Linked DNA regions of Xenopus tropicalis. Each later gene encodes a partner of the first gene's protein in a complex. Links are inferred from orthologs where the notes say so. Each region holds a gene or a part of one and is shown on either strand. Other genes may lie near its edges.

Evidence for each region.
Region 2: the proteins of nf2 (region 1) and lats1 are in contact, whole or in part, in a crystal structure (PDB 7LWH), measured with the Homo sapiens proteins. The link is inferred for Xenopus tropicalis from reciprocal best matches to the Homo sapiens genes NF2 and LATS1. Residues at the interface, in NP_000259.1 of Homo sapiens: Pro135, Glu136, Ala137, Val139, Leu140, Tyr144, Asn175, Leu176, Tyr177, Gln178, Met179, Met183, Trp184, Arg187, Trp191, Glu206, Ile210, Asp213, Leu214, Glu215; in NP_004681.1 of Homo sapiens: Pro69, Lys70, Phe71, Gly72, His74, Ala77, Leu78, Glu80, Ile81, Arg82, Ser84, Leu85, Phe88, Ala89, Asn90.
Region 3: the proteins of nf2 (region 1) and lats2 are in contact, whole or in part, in a crystal structure (PDB 4ZRI), measured with the Homo sapiens proteins. The link is inferred for Xenopus tropicalis from reciprocal best matches to the Homo sapiens genes NF2 and LATS2. Residues at the interface, in NP_000259.1 of Homo sapiens: Pro135, Glu136, Ala137, Val139, Leu140, Tyr144, Asn175, Leu176, Tyr177, Gln178, Met179, Trp184, Arg187, Trp191, Glu206, Lys209, Ile210; in NP_055387.2 of Homo sapiens: Tyr73, Ala76, Leu77, Glu79, Ile80, Arg81, Ser83, Leu84, Leu85, Phe87, Ala88, Asn89.

Annotation. Positions count from the first base shown.
Region 1 is NC_030677.2:144,768,322-144,772,935, reverse strand, and holds part of nf2 (merlin), read left to right. Parts: intron 1-3,432; coding exon 3,433-3,555; intron 3,556-3,771; coding exon 3,772-3,989; intron 3,990-4,414; coding exon 4,415-4,520; intron 4,521-4,614. UniProt on the Homo sapiens protein: Probable regulator of the Hippo/SWH (Sav/Wts/Hpo) signaling pathway, a signaling pathway that plays a pivotal role in tumor suppression by restricting proliferation and promoting apoptosis.
Region 2 is NC_030681.2:58,191,156-58,196,466, reverse strand, and holds the start of lats1 (serine/threonine-protein kinase LATS1), read right to left. Parts: upstream 3,374-5,311; 5' UTR 3,271-3,373; intron 1-3,270. UniProt on the Homo sapiens protein: Negative regulator of YAP1 in the Hippo signaling pathway that plays a pivotal role in organ size control and tumor suppression by restricting proliferation and promoting apoptosis.
Region 3 is NC_030678.2:157,780,210-157,785,448, reverse strand, and holds the start of lats2 (serine/threonine-protein kinase LATS2), read right to left. Parts: upstream 3,374-5,239; 5' UTR 3,306-3,373; intron 2,275-3,305; exon of another isoform or gene 1,954-2,274; intron 1-1,953. UniProt on the Homo sapiens protein: Negative regulator of YAP1 in the Hippo signaling pathway that plays a pivotal role in organ size control and tumor suppression by restricting proliferation and promoting apoptosis.

The DNA.
Region 1 (4,614 bases):
TTATAAATGTTGCTATGTCTTGTTGCATTATCAGTAGACCACAACATAAGCATTCTGTTTATGAGCATTAGGATCTCAATAGCTGTTTAGAGATTATCAACTGTTGTCATAGCTTTGATTTGTACATACAAATGCAAATTTATAGAGGATATGCACACTAAATTATACCCATATAATGAATTTATTGTTTTTAACAGAAATAATTGAAACTGTAACACTGCTTAGGATGATTTTGAAATGAGCACACATTGCATGAGTATCATTTTGCTGAGAATAATATGCATATTATTGTATTGTTTTTGTATGGTAAAAGCATAGTCTAATTTTCATACAGTTGTTTTTTTACACAGTACTTTGTCTGAGCTCTTTTTTCAGAATGGTACTTTTCCCAGGGCACTGAAGAACCATTTTTGTTACTTGATTTTAAAGTTTTAGGGTAATGACACACAGAGCTGCTTGCAACCAGCTACAGAATAGACAGTACTGATGATTTCCTCTACATGTGTTTTAGCAGAGACAATTCTCAATATTGTATCTGCTAAAACACATGTAGAGAAAATAAGTATTGTCTATTTTGTAGTAGGCTGGAAATAGCTCAGTGTGTCATAGCCCTTAGAGCAGGGATTTCCAACCTTTTTTACTTATCATCCATATCTTGGTGAGCCACACAAGCGTGAAAAAGGTTCCTTAAGGATGCTAAATAAGGGCCTGTGATTGGTTATTTGGTAGCCCATGTGAACTCCTAACCTGCACAAGGCTCTGCTTGGACAAAAACTGTGTCTATATGCTTCCAAAACTTGTCTTCAAGCCAGAAATGTAAAAATGGGCACCTACTTTGAGGCGACTGGGAGCAACATCAAAGGGGATGGTGAGTTACATGTTGCTCATGAGCCACTGGTTGGGGATCACTGCCTTGGGTGGCAGAGTTTGTTGCCACTTGTTTTGATGAACCCTAATCCCTTTAAGGTGCTGCAATTGTCAGTATATCCCATTGAGTGGTCCAGATTGGGCCTGGTAACAGTTAAAGGAACAGTAACACCAAAAACTGAAAGTGTTTTAGGGATGCACCAAATCCACTATTTTGGGATTCAGCTGAACCCCGAATCAGCACATGCAAATAAAGGCACAGAAGTAAAAAGATCTGTGAGTAGTGAAAAATGTTCACCTTCCTTGTCTATGTGATAAAGTCACACGATTTTAAGGATTCAGATTCAGTTTGTCCAGGACCATTCTGGATTTGGAGCATCCCTATTTTTAAAGTGATTAAAATATAATTGACTGTTGCCCTGTACTGGTAAAAGTTTTGTGTTTGCTTTAGCAACATTACTATAGTTATATATATAAGTTGCTGTGTAGCCATGGGGGCAGCCATTCAAGCTAAAAGAAAGGAGAAAAGGCACAGGTTACATAGCAGATAACAGATAAAATACCCATGTATTCTACTGGTCTGTTATCTGCTATGTAACCTGTGCCTTTTCTCCTTTCTTTTAGCTTGAATGGCTGCCCCCAGGGCTACACAGCAGCATTGTTTTATTTATAGGATTCCTGAAGCAAACACACCAATTTACCAGTGCAGAGTAAACAGTACATTATGTTTTAATTACTTTGAAAGGAACAATAACACCAGATACAGTGTTTTAAAATAATTAAAATATAATGTACTGTTGCTTTGCTTTTACTGATCTATTTGCTTCAGGAAAACTACTAGTTTAGAAGGAATTAAGGGCCGCCTTCTGGGATCATAGGATTCACAGTGCACACTATCAAGCCAAGGCACACATACATGCTAGGCCACATCGGCCAATTAATGGACAGAGTTCTGCTTTTGCTTCCATGCTACTTCCTGTTACAGTTAGAGCTGCATTATTTCCTGTCAGGTGATCTCTGAGGGAGCACACAGCCCATCACTAAATGGTGTGTATATATATATATATATATATATAAAATAGATGTGTAGAAAGCACTCACAGCATATAAAAGTAAAACAAAAATGTATTTGTTTATTAGCTCATCGCATCTACGCGTTTCGATCCTAATAGGATCGTCATCAGGATCCTATTAGGATCGAAACGCGTAGATGCGATGAGCTAATAAACAAATACATTTTTGTTTTACTTTTATATGCTGTGAGTGCTTTCTACACATCTATTGTTTACTTTTTGGTTAGCACCCGGCTAGTGCTCTTGAAACGGTGAGTGCCGATTTTTTTTTGATTATATATATATATGGATCGTTTTCATTAAAGAAATTTTTTGTTTTCTAAAAAAGTCCCTGCGTGTGCGGCTCATTGTCTTGCTATATATATATATATATATATATATATGTGTGTGTGTAAAAAGGTCCCAAAAGGGACCGAAACGTCGGTTGTACATGCAATTTTAATACACGAGAGATTTTTTGAAACACAAAGACCCTTGGTGCTGGCTGTTTTATTTTGATATATATATGTGTATATATATATATATATATATATATATATTCCAGTTTGCCGAGATTCTTTAATAGGTCACTTAACATAAACTATCTGTTAGTTAGGTATTCATTCTGGGGGTATAGTTTTCCTTTAAATAATTTTCATGGTGGTCATTCTTATGAAATTTCAGAAAAGAAGACTGGTCTTGTGTGTCCTTAATAGGTTACGTTTGAATTATTCTAAAATTCCTCAGTGGCAGCAATGTAAAGTCCAGTTGCAGCCAGGCAAGAATGTTAATAATGCCATCAAGGGGAAAAGGATGTCACAGTGACACCTTCACAACATGTAACATTCTAACACCCTGCCTACAAGTCATTGACTTGTATCCACATGATTACGCTTGACTAGAATACAGGTCTGTTTTACTGCAAGGGTGAACCACAAGGGGTCAGTGTTAGTACAGGTTCAAGTATAGCATTTTTAATTATTAAACACTAACACTGTGAGGAAGTGCTTCTTCCCGCTGTTTATTTTTCTCCCTTTCAGAGCTTTCATTAACTAAACGCAATTAACAAAATATTTTATTCTTGCAAAGCATGAGTCTAAATAAATAGTTGTAAAGCTCTATATCTGAGACAGATCTTTGTTTTACCTTCATGTTTAATTCATAAATAACTACCATTTTCAGTACAGCCGCATAATAGGGTTATAAACAACACATGCACAAGGTTGAGAAAACAGGGTGGCAGCAGAGGTCCTGCCGGTGATTTCAAATTAATTTTAAGGATGTCTACATATCACAATGCATATTAAAAACCATAATAATGTGTTCTGTGATGGGTGTGGCTGCTGAGACAAGTTTTTACTCTAAGGTTTGGTTGTATTTAATAACACAGCGCCACAGCTTTTAAAGACAGGTTTATACTCTTATGGATTGTTGAAACTTGTTAAAAAAAAAAAAATCCTTGTTATGCCTTAGTAGTCCCTTGTATCACTTTTAACTTGTTGCATCTCTATAGATGGAACGGCAACGCCTGGCACGGGAAAAACAACTGAGGGAAGAGGCGGAAAGAGCCCGGGATGAGCTGGAAAGAAGGCTGCTGCAGCTAAAAGAAGAGGCTCAGATGGCCAATGATGCATTGGTAAGACTTGTCTGTAGAGCCAGGTATTTCATGATTTATTAATAGTGTTACCCATACATATCTAAGCTTGAATGACTTTCTAACTAAACATGTGAGAAGTCATTGTGCTAATGGGGAATGAAAGCTGTTTGCAGCATCGTCAGGCTTCTGTTACTATTTGAGGTCTCTTGTATCTGGGATTGCTAATAAACAGCTCTGTATTGCTGTTCTCCCTAGATGCGGTCAGAGGAGACTGCTGACCTACTGGCAGAAAAAGCTCAGATCACAGAAGAGGAAGCCAAACTACTGGCCCAGAAAGCAGCAGAGGCTGAACAAGAAATGCAAAGAATCAAAGCCACAGCCATTCGCAATGAGGAAGAAAAGCGGTTAATGGAGCAAAAGGTCATGGAGACAGAAATGCTGGCAATAAAGATGGCAGAGGAATCAGAACGGAGGTAAAGTTTGCATTTGACACTGCCTTTTTTCATTCCTTGTAATAGTTATTCTTGTTTTACTTTTTTTTACCAAAGTAATCTTTAACCTGCGGGCTTCTGCTGCTATTAAGGGACTAACACCAGCATGTTGAGAGTTGTATTTTAGCAACAGCTAAGCATGTTGCAAGTTACAAATGGCAGCTTTTGTCCCCCAGTTTTGCTTGTTGATGCGGTCCCCGAACTGCCCACATGTTCCCCCGATGTCGCCCACCCATAGGTGGGGATATCGGGTAAAGATCCGCTTGCTTGGCAACCTCGCCAAGCGAGCGAATCTTCATGTGTATGGGCACCAGGTACAAATGTGCCCAATTTTGATAAATGAGCCCCTGTATGCTTCTTTTTGAACTAAGTTGTTTTAACTGCTTTCATTCTCTCGTGTTGTTTAGAGTTAAGGAAGCTGAGCAACTCAAGCAAGACTTGCAAGAGGCTCGGGATTCAGAACGTCGAGCTAAGCAAAAGCTTCTAGAGATATCTAGTAAAACCTCCTATATGGTGAGCTGTCTAAATAGCAGTAACCTTCCCGTTCATGTGATTTGAATCAGATGTCTATATCTCATAAATAGAAAAGAGCTGGAGGCCCCTAATT
Region 2 (5,311 bases), on another chromosome or scaffold:
AAGGTATGGGGTCAAGGGTGCAGGTTGTGGGTTAGGAGCAGACCAGAAGTTTGCTAACTTCCTTTACTGTTACAGGGATGAAAGAATGTAAAGTATATCTGACTGTATTGCAAGTTAATTTAAGATTGACATAAACTGGTATACTATTTTGTCCTGAGCAACGCCTTGAGCAGTGACAGTAATGAGTGGAGGATGTGGTGGAGGGCAAGGCAGCAGTTAATGTGGCACGTAACCTGCTTTTTGGAAGGGTAAGAGGGGGTAACCATGTATTTTATGTGTGAGTACACTCCTGCCTCTCACTGTATAATGTATTTTGCATGTGGGGTTATTGTTCTTGGAAGTCTCTATATCATTATTTACAAGTGTATATAATATGGCCTTTACTGTACAAGCTGACACAGAAAGGCTAAACCTATTGTAATACTAGGCTTTACAACATATATTCACTTGCCAGAGAAATGCCTTAAACCACACATGCTAAAAGCCAGCAAAAGCCAAGATGCCCCATTAACACACAATAATTTTAAATGGAAACACCTCGAGTGATGAACATGAAGCAGTGAAAGGTAGAACTCCACCAATAACCATACTTAGTCAAATTACATTTCATGTTATCAGAAGCTGTGACAGGCAGACATACTGTAGCTGTTTTAACCATTGCTGGTTTTCCCTGACCACAGTGTCAGCATAACCCCCCACATCCTACCCATGTGATGTAGCACTTAAGGTAGACATACACTGTAAGATCCACTCCTTTGGCGAGGTTACCAAGTGAGTGGATCTTCTCCTGATATGCCCACCTACGGGAGGGCTATATATGGGGCTAATTCGTTTGCATTAAAACGGCGGGCATAGCCGCTGTCTGTTCGGGGACCACATCAACGAGCTGATGTGGTCCCTGATCCGACCGAAAAATCAAACCTGCCAGTTCGAGATCTGGCTGATTTCATGCCAAATGTCGGTCCAGGAGGACCATCATTGGTGCCCATACACAGGCAGATAAGCTGTTGAATTGGTCTAAAGGATCGATATCAGCAGCTGAAATTGGCCCGTGTATGGCCACCTTTAGGGGAATTGCAGATTGGGTGATGTCAGAAAACTTTACACTTCATGGGTAACAAAGCATCCAAAAACACATTTGAACTGCACCATATGTAACTCATCACAGATAAAACTCTCTTTTTTTAATTTATTTATTTATTTTTTTAACTGCTCCAAAATGTTCTGTTCTGCATGTTTGCTGAACAAAGTAAGAAGTCCCTTTTACAAGCGGCAATTTACAGAGGACGTTATTCGGTTGTATTTCTGGTTGCTTTGCTGCTGTGAGGAGAATGATTTCATGTGGGCAACAAAATGCCCTCATCTGCCATTGGGCGGTAACATCAACAGGAGAGCACTAATAACTGATGTGTTGTGAAAAAAGCACTTCTCCACATGACAGTATCCCTTTAAAATACAGACATAAGGGTAAATTTGCAGCCTCTCTTTACTGCTGCCTTGCAAAGGGATGTCAGTAAAACCGCCTCCCTCAGCTAATGTGAACAGAGCCTCATCTGTTCAGCCTGCCCTCAGAACAAAGGACAGGCAAGAAGAATACAACTCTCCCAGACACCTGTCCGGAAGAAATCTGCTGTTTTAACGGATAGGAGCTCCAGATTTCTATCCTGCTAATGCTACCCAGCTTATGGCTAATAATAACATGCTGGTGTATTTTAATGGATTGAGAAGAGGCCAAAACTGCCCATGGTGGCTCCAATTTATGTTGCAGTTTATGGTTTTAACTGCAGCTGCAGTCCAGCCTTGAAATGCCCACGTCAGCCTGTCATTATTCTGATTAAATCAAGTAAAATAAGCTGTGGCTGAAACATACAAGAAGCGTTCATGTGAGTATTTCAAGACACGGTGGTCCAAGTTTTATTGCTCCATGTACACCATTCAAGCTTCCTCTAAGTTAATATTACAAGGATATTTTAGCTTCTGTGGACTCCTGGAGGAAAAAAGACTGTGGGGCTCAGTTATCAAAAAAACAAAAAAAAACTATTTGCACCAGGGCAGAAACCCACTGCAACCACGGTGACTTTTTCAACTAGGAGCAATAACAGCAAAAGTAAGGTTGGCCATACACAAGCCAATAAAAGCTGCTGACTTGGTCCTTCCAACAGGCCTGACCGACCAATATCTGGCTAAATTGTTAGATTCACATCTGCTTATTGATGCAGCCCACATCCTGATTTACACAGTTTTGATAAGTGACCCCATTGTGTCCGAATACTGCTAATATATACAAAACTGATAAATTACCTGCCTACTTTCTAAAACAGTACAGGTGACTATTAAAATGCTGCAATGCACATTTTTGGCCTCAATGCATCCACCGGTCATTGTGCACACAGGGTGTATTTAACTTAGGTACATATTTTCGTGCATCATTTCTTTCCAGTGTTTGCAGTGACAGGCGGATGTCACTCATGTCACTAGTTAGAGAAAAGAAGTTTGGTGTGTTAATGAAGTATTTTCCACCAGGGCAAAACTTACAGCATTTAAACAAGTTTTGCTTAGTAAGGCAAAGAAAGCAATCATAATTAACAAAATTCTGGATAGTGGCTGAACTGATTCATTGAGGTCTTGGGTTGATAAATATTTTTACCTTAAGAATGTCTACTAATAGAAATACATAAAATCCTACAAATAAGAACACCTGTGTGAAATATAATTTGAATAATTGTGAACACATATCAATCATATGGCCCCCAACATTTATTGCAAATAATCATAACCTGGCCACACTATTCCACACCTAGAAAAATGCATAACTGTCTATGTAAAAGCAAATTACCACCATTTCATTTTCTGGAAAAAGAAAACTTCTGTGTGCACTATCTATATCTTGTGAAACCTTTTTTTCACAGAACTACTGTATTATCCGAGTTTGGAGATAGCGCTGGTGGTGCACCTAGACATTCTATCCAAGCGTTCTGATCTTACTTTGCAGACTTCTTTGTTCTTAACTAGAACTGGGTTCACTTTCTAACGAATAGTCATTCCATGTCTAAATTAATCGATCAAGAACACGAAAACGGTACAGTATTACGAACATCGAACAACACTCGATCACAACTTTTGTTTCTTACTTCTGCAGAAAAACTACTCGTTTTTCACGGCACAGTCCCCTCCTAAACAAACAATTCGTACATACCACCACCCAGGTTCACATGCACTTTTAATTTTTTGAGCAACTAAATTACTCCTCACAAATAAAGGGTTACTTACCAGTTACTTCACAAATCATCCCAAAACCTCAGCCATTTTGAGCTTTGGGCTTATATGACTTGTAGATTCCCGGATGTAACTTTTCCCCCTTCACAACCTCCGGTTCCTCCCACTGTCAACTGCCGGCTGCCCGCCTACACGCAAGAGCGTTTTGACTTCATCACGGAACAGTCACGTCGGAGTCACGTGATGCTGACGCCACAAATGTGCATTTCTTCACTAGGAAGTGGTTTGAAGTACTGTACGGAGCAGCCAAATCTGTTTGTTTTGGTGCCTTGAACGCCTTTTGTAGGTGTCGTTGGTCGTTATTTGAAAGTAAGTCACTTTTACTTCCCTATACTTTTTTCTTCCCTATACTTTTTTCTTCCTACTTGTACTGTGTCCAAACTTCATTTTTACGTATTTGGTTTCTGCTTAGGGTCTAGGTCATCTGGGGGTTCCGAAAATAGTCTTGCAGGCTGGGTGGATAAATCTTCTTAGATAACTGTTTCAACTAGAGGTTTGGGAAAGGAGGTTTTCAACTAAATACACAGAACAGATATGGTTACTGTTTAAAATTATATCAGATTACTACCACTACTTTTAAAGGAATTGTTCAGTGAAAAAACTGGGTAGATAGGTTGCGCAAAATAAAAAAAAATGTTTTCAATATACTTAGCCAAAAATATAATCTTTAAATACTGGGGTGAGCAGATGTCTAGCCAGAACACTACTTCCTTCTTTGCATCTCTCTAACCTGTTAAAAGTTGGTAGCCAATCAGTGACTTAAGAGAAGGTGGGGGGCAAGTTTGACCTTAATGCCTATATATAACCTGCCTAACTTTTAGTTGGTCCAGAGGAAGGCAAAAAAATCCATAAACCCCTGATGCCTCTCTAATTTGCCACAGAGGGTGAAAGAAAATTCCTTCCTGACTCCAAGATGGGAATCGGACCAGTCCCTGGATCAACTTGTACTAAGAGCTATCTCCCATAACCCTGTATTCCCTCACTTGCTAAAATGCCATCCAGCCCCTTATCAGTTGTATCAGTATGACTGGGAGGGAGTTCCACAACTTCACAGCTCTCACAGTAAAAATTCCTTTCTGAATATTTAAACAGGACCTCCCGTATTCTAAACCGGGTCGGTGTCCCTGTGTCCGTTGAAAGGACCTACTGGAAAATAAAGTATTTGAGAGGTTATTATATTATCCCCATATATATATATATTTTTTTTTTTTTATTTATGCATTTATAACATATAACAACATGAAACATTGACACTGGTTCTACAAGCGTGTTTTTGGTCAGGATATATACAGTACATTGGTTTAAATAATCAGTGATATCCTACTCGAGGTAATGTTCAACTTCTGTTAAAGAAGGGGAGGATTTGGGATTACCAGCGGAGGTTCAGATTCCCAGGGAGGATCCTGTGGCATTATTCCATGGCTTCAACCCATGTTCCCCATACCTTGTCATACTTTTGGGGGCATCCCCTTGCTATATAGGTGAGTTGTATCAGTGGAAGAAGGGCTTTAAGTAAATTGAGCCAGCTGGCAATTGTCGGGGGAGAGTGTGCCATCCATTGAAATAGGATACTTTTCCTGGCATAAAACAGTAATGTTCTACAGAGGATGCGCAATGCTGATTTGGGAGTAATGTCATGCAAAATGCCGAATAGGCAAACCTTGGGATTGAGTATTTTAGGTAGGGATGTTGTGTTTTGGATGTGGGCTAGGATCTGATTCCAAAAGTGGTGTATTTGTGGGCATGACCACATTAAGTGAAAGTAGTTGGCCTCGGGGGCACCACATTTATGGCAATGGGACGAATTGCGGATTCCCATATGATGTAGACGTAGAGGGGTCAAATGGAGCCTGTGTATGATTTTGAACTGGATTAACCTGTCTCTCTTGTAGAGATCAGATAGTCATAGGCCCTGTCTGTCGCTTCCTCCCAATCTAAACTGTCTAGCTCCGGTATGTCTTGGTGCCAAGCTTTTTGAGCTGTGAGAAAGGGAGACTGGAGGGTAGAGAGGAGCAGGGAGTATAGTGTGGTGATC
Region 3 (5,239 bases), on another chromosome or scaffold:
TAGCAGTGGGGGGATAATAGACTCTGGGAAGGGACTGTGGCTGTGGGATAGCAGGTATAGTAGGGAGAGATGGTGCCTATAGTAGCAGTGGGGGGATAATAGCCTCTGGGAAGGGACTGGGGCTGTGGGATAGCAGGTATAGTAGGGAGAGATGGTGCCTATAGTAGCAGTGGGGGGATAATAGCCTCTGGGAAGGGACTGTGGGAAAATTGACAATAGCCACAATTAGACCTCTGTAGATAGGTTCCTGTGGTCTGAAAACATTTAGCTGAATTGCCCAGTATCCAATAACAGCAAACTGCTAAGGCCTTTACTCCAATCACAGTTCTATGTAACTCCATATTAATCCAATACTTTGCCATACATGCCTGTTCCCTGTTGTACAGTCCCATTGCATAGGGCAGCAATTACAGACAGATTCATTTCTGTTTATTGGCAGGTTAGTTTGAGGGGATAAACTATATGTGAGCAGAAAAACAACTTTAGGACTGAAAAGGTTATAGCCATGTAGGAATGTATTTCCTGGTAATCATGGGATTGTCTTTATGTTCAACCTGGAAAAAAAAGCAGCAGCCCTGCCATGCAGCTATCCTTCTCACTATTTAAAGGACCTTGCCCTTTGAGGCTGCACAAACAAAAAAACTTGTGTGGCACAACATGGTGCAAGAATACATATTGTAATGCAGAGATAGGGGGTTCTGCTTGGGAAAAAACTGTGACTGTGCTTCCAAAACTTGTCTCCAAGCCAGAGATTTTAAAATGGGCACTGGAGACTGGGAACAACAAAGGAGATGGTGAGCAATACCACTGGTTGGGCATCACTAACATAGATGGTGATATGCAGAGATAATTTGCAATTGGTCCTTTTTTTTTTGCTATTTACCTTTTTCTTCAGCAGCTTTCCAGATTTGAATTTTTAGAAGCTATCTGGTTGCTAGGCTCCAATTTGCCTTAGCAACCAGGCAGTGGTGTGAATGACAGAGTGGAAGAGGAAAGGCTAAAGCTGCCCATAATGCAGTGATATAAGCGTAAATGTAGTTTGATTTTTGGACTGTATGTGGGCTCCAAATGATCCCAATAATACCGAGGTGATCAGTCGTTTAGTCGATTGGACAGGTTAGAAAATGTTAGTGCTTGGGGTGTATGTGACGGCGCGCTTGGGGAGTATGTGACGGCGCGCTTGGGGTGTATGTGACGGCGCGCTTGGGGTGTATGTGACGGCGCGCTTGGGGTGTATGTGACGGCGCGCTTGGGGTGTATGTGACGGCGCGCTTGGGGTGTATGTGACGGCGCGCTTGGGGTGTATGTGACGGCGCGCTTGGGGTGTATGTGACGGCGCGCTTGGGGTGTATGTGACGGCGCGCTTGGGGTGTATGTGACGGCGCGCTTGGGGTGTATGTGACGGCGCGCTTGGGGGGGGGTCACTTTCCTACCATTGGTGTCTGACAACTATTTCATGTTCAGAAATTCCTCTGATTTGATATTTTTAGGGCTTTAACTTACAATTTCAGCCCTAACATTAGTTCGTTGCATTTAAACATACGATCGATATCTAAACGTTCATCAGAAGAAGGCTAAAATCTGAACTTGGATGGCCGGCTTCAAACAGAGATATAAGTACCAATAACGGTGTAGCCTCACAGAGCAACAGATATTTGTGGTTGCTAGGGTCTGAGACCCCTAACTAACTAACCCAAGCACATGGAGGCAGAGGGGTAAATAGTGTCAGAACTATAACAATTCACTATGAAGCCCAATGGAAAAGTTGCAAAGCACAGGGCATAGGGTAGGGAAGTGGTAGGGAGCCTTGGCGGGGGCTAGGGCCATGCTGTCACTGCTCCTGAGGGAACATTCGGGGTCGGACGCGCACGGACAATACGTGTCATTAGCTTGTTCCCCCGGACCCCAGCGCCCTCCCCCCAACACCCGCAGCTCTAGCACTAGTCAGTTTACCGGAGTTCCGCTCGGTGCAAGCCAACAGACGGTTCCGCTCTCCGCCCGTCCCCGCCGCCGCCGCCGATAGAATGTAGCGGGTTGGACTTGGGCGCCCGCCGCATTGTTTGCATTCCATTGCGGTCACGTGGGAGCCCCTGCCTGCGTCATCGACGTGGAGAAGCGGGGATTGGCCGGTGTGTGAGGGGGCGTGGCCCCGGGAATCCTTCGCTTTCCCTCTCTCCGGCCTGTGGCGCGATTAACTTGTTCTGTGCTGAGCTCTCAAAGTTACCACAGAGGCCGCCTGATGGCTGTGCGCTTTATCCTTCTACCATTCACCTCTACAGCACCATTCTGCCTTCTGTAACCCTTCCAACCCTCAGCTTTAGCGTCTTCACAGCCCATTTGCGCCAGCCCATCTATTAACGTGATACTGACACTGCTAGGGTTTCAATTACTGAGCAGCACAAGGAGTGGTTTGACCAGAGACTAATATGTTTATAGAAGATGGACCTAAACAGAAAAATAAGTAATAAAAAGTAACTGCTGGGGTCAGTGACCCCCATTTGAAAGTTAGAAAGAGTCAGAAGAAGGCACATCATTTAAAAAGTATAAAAAATAAATAAGGACCAATTGGAAAGCTAAAATTATAACTAACATACAGACAATGCTATGATAGATGTAAAAAGGGGTTAATTTTTTGGTGTCAGTATCTCTTTACCACCCCCAGCATCCTTAATTGAGTACATTAACCCTTTCTACCCCAATGCTGTCACACCTATCCATATGGACTGTAAACTATCATAATAGCTCCCTGTGGCTATCTTGTTATTGTAATGACGCGTCTCAGTGCCCTCTGAAAAAACAGGTTGCTATATGGCTTTGCTTAGTAACCCCCCCTCTCCCCTGCCAGCAGCTATAATATCACTCTATACACTGTTTGGACTAATTATATGACCCTCTAAGGCAGTGCTGTCTTATTACAAGTAGTGGGCCAATTATATCTGGTAGAGTCTATGTGAAGTGAAGTCTATGGAGCCTGGGGACCATAAAAATCCTTTGGAGCACCACATGCAGTGGTGTAACTACTCTGTGCTGCCCCCAACCCCCCTGCAAAAACCTTCAGAGGGGCCCAGTGCAGAGTAGTAAACTTACATAGGCTCCTTGGTCAGAGACTTTGTTACAAGGGGGTCATTGGTCAGAGAACCCACTAAGAGGCTATTTAGTCTTGTCTATGTGTGTTCTCTTTCCATCTCATGCCTAATGTGCTCACTATTTCCATTTAACAGGTATGTGAAAATCTGGTCTCATTTCTAAACATAAAGTCAAAGCTCAAAATTGAAATCCACAAAGGTATTTTGTTGAATACACACCCCTTTGTACTAGCCTCTGCCACCTCTCACTTGCCTTGAGGAGATAGTGCTTGCAGGCGTGTTTGCTTGCACGTGGAACTAACTTGCACCCAATTAATTAGTTACTTACATTTTTTATGCACTTACAAATGCCAAATGCATGAGAGTCAGGTGTTTCAATCAATGGGATGATAATCAGGTTTGAGCGTGGGATGCCCGGCGTTAATTACATAACGGAAATCCGGCTCCTCACTATCCAAGTCTGATCTTTGCAACAAAAGTTTGTAGAAGTCCTGCAAATCCGCCAATGCAAGAGACATGTATCATGGCTGAAACAAAAAAGATTTCTGAGGACCTCCAAAAATCACTTGTTATTGCTCAGGCTGGAAAAGGTTGAAAAACTAATTATAGAGAATTTGGACTCCATCAGTCAGGCAGGTCATGTACAAATGGTGGCAAACAAAAGTCACAACAACAGCAAGCATTTTGGGAGATCTAAAGAAATAAAAATGGCCTATAATGAACTAAAGTAGTCTCTGGCATTGGCCGATGTCAATATTCATGGGTCCACTATCAAAACAATGGTGTGCATGGCAGGGTTGCAAGGAGAAACCACTGCTATGCAAAAAGGAATTCTACCAGCAAATTTGAACCTAAAAACAAAGTCCACCAAAGAATGGATGAACAGAAGAAAGTTTATGTTTTGGAACAGCCAAGTCAAAGTCCTGATATTAATCCTGTAGAAATGTTGTGGAAAATTCGGAAGCAGGCAGTCTATGCGAGGAAGCCTGACAACATCCCTGAGTTGAGGTTGTTCTGATTTCAGGAATGGGCTAAAATTCCCAAAAACTGATTTGCAGGACTGATCATCAGCTCTCGGAAATATTTAGTGGTAGTCATTGCTGCCCAATGGGGGCACACCATTTATTAAAAACAAAGGTTCACATAGTTGTGCCCTACACAAAATGTAACATAGGGTCCTTTTTCTCAAGAGATAAATGAACACACATTATGTTTTTGACTAATTTGTTTAATGGGATTCTCATTATCTAGTATTAGGGCAAAATGGTTTGCAAAATTTCAGACACCACTGTATGGGCTATTGTAGTTCCTACACTTGTGTGCACTTGTACAATGCAGGTTAGTTAGTTGATAAGATATCCTACAAACTCTTGTTGTTTAACTATTTGCTGCCTGATGGGCGAAATGCTCTATATCTGCTACAGCTTGGCTATAAGGGAGTTGTTAACCTTGAGACTGTGTGTACATTGCCTCTGTAATGCTTGTGATAAGACATTGCTGAAGTTCCATTTCACTGCAGCTGTTGCAATCTTTTTGGTGACTGAAGGCTGACACGCATGGGCCAGTCGTTCAGTTTTGGGAAAGTCTGGTATTTGTTCTGAGGTATCACAATAAAGCAGGCACCTTCCATATGTGTGGGTCAGCTGAGATAATCTCTCATGTGTGAACAGAGAATAATCAACTCAGTTTGGTTGTTCTTTCTGTCCAAGGGGATGAAAATGTGAAAGCTGGCAGTATGCTTCCAGAAGCATTAAGCATGCAGCGGTACAAGTATTAAGGGTGAAGACACGGAGCTACTTATTAGCAGATACTTGTCTTGGCTACTAAAAGCCAGACAATACTGAGAATTGCCTCTGCTAAAACTCACATAGGGGCCCATTTACTTACTCACGAACTGGCCGAATGCGTCCGATTGCGTTTTTTCGTAATGATCAGTATTTTGCGATTTTTCGGCTAATTGTCGCAACTTTTTCGTTGCCATTCCGAATGTTGCGCAAAATCTGGCGATTTTTTCATAGCGTTAATACTTGCGCGAAAAGTCGCGACTTTTTCGCAGCTTTCGCGCCGAGTACGAAAGAATCGGATTCATTCAAGCTTCAGTATGGTGACTTTTCTTGGGCCAGGTTGGAGCTGCAGGGTGCCATTGAGTCCTA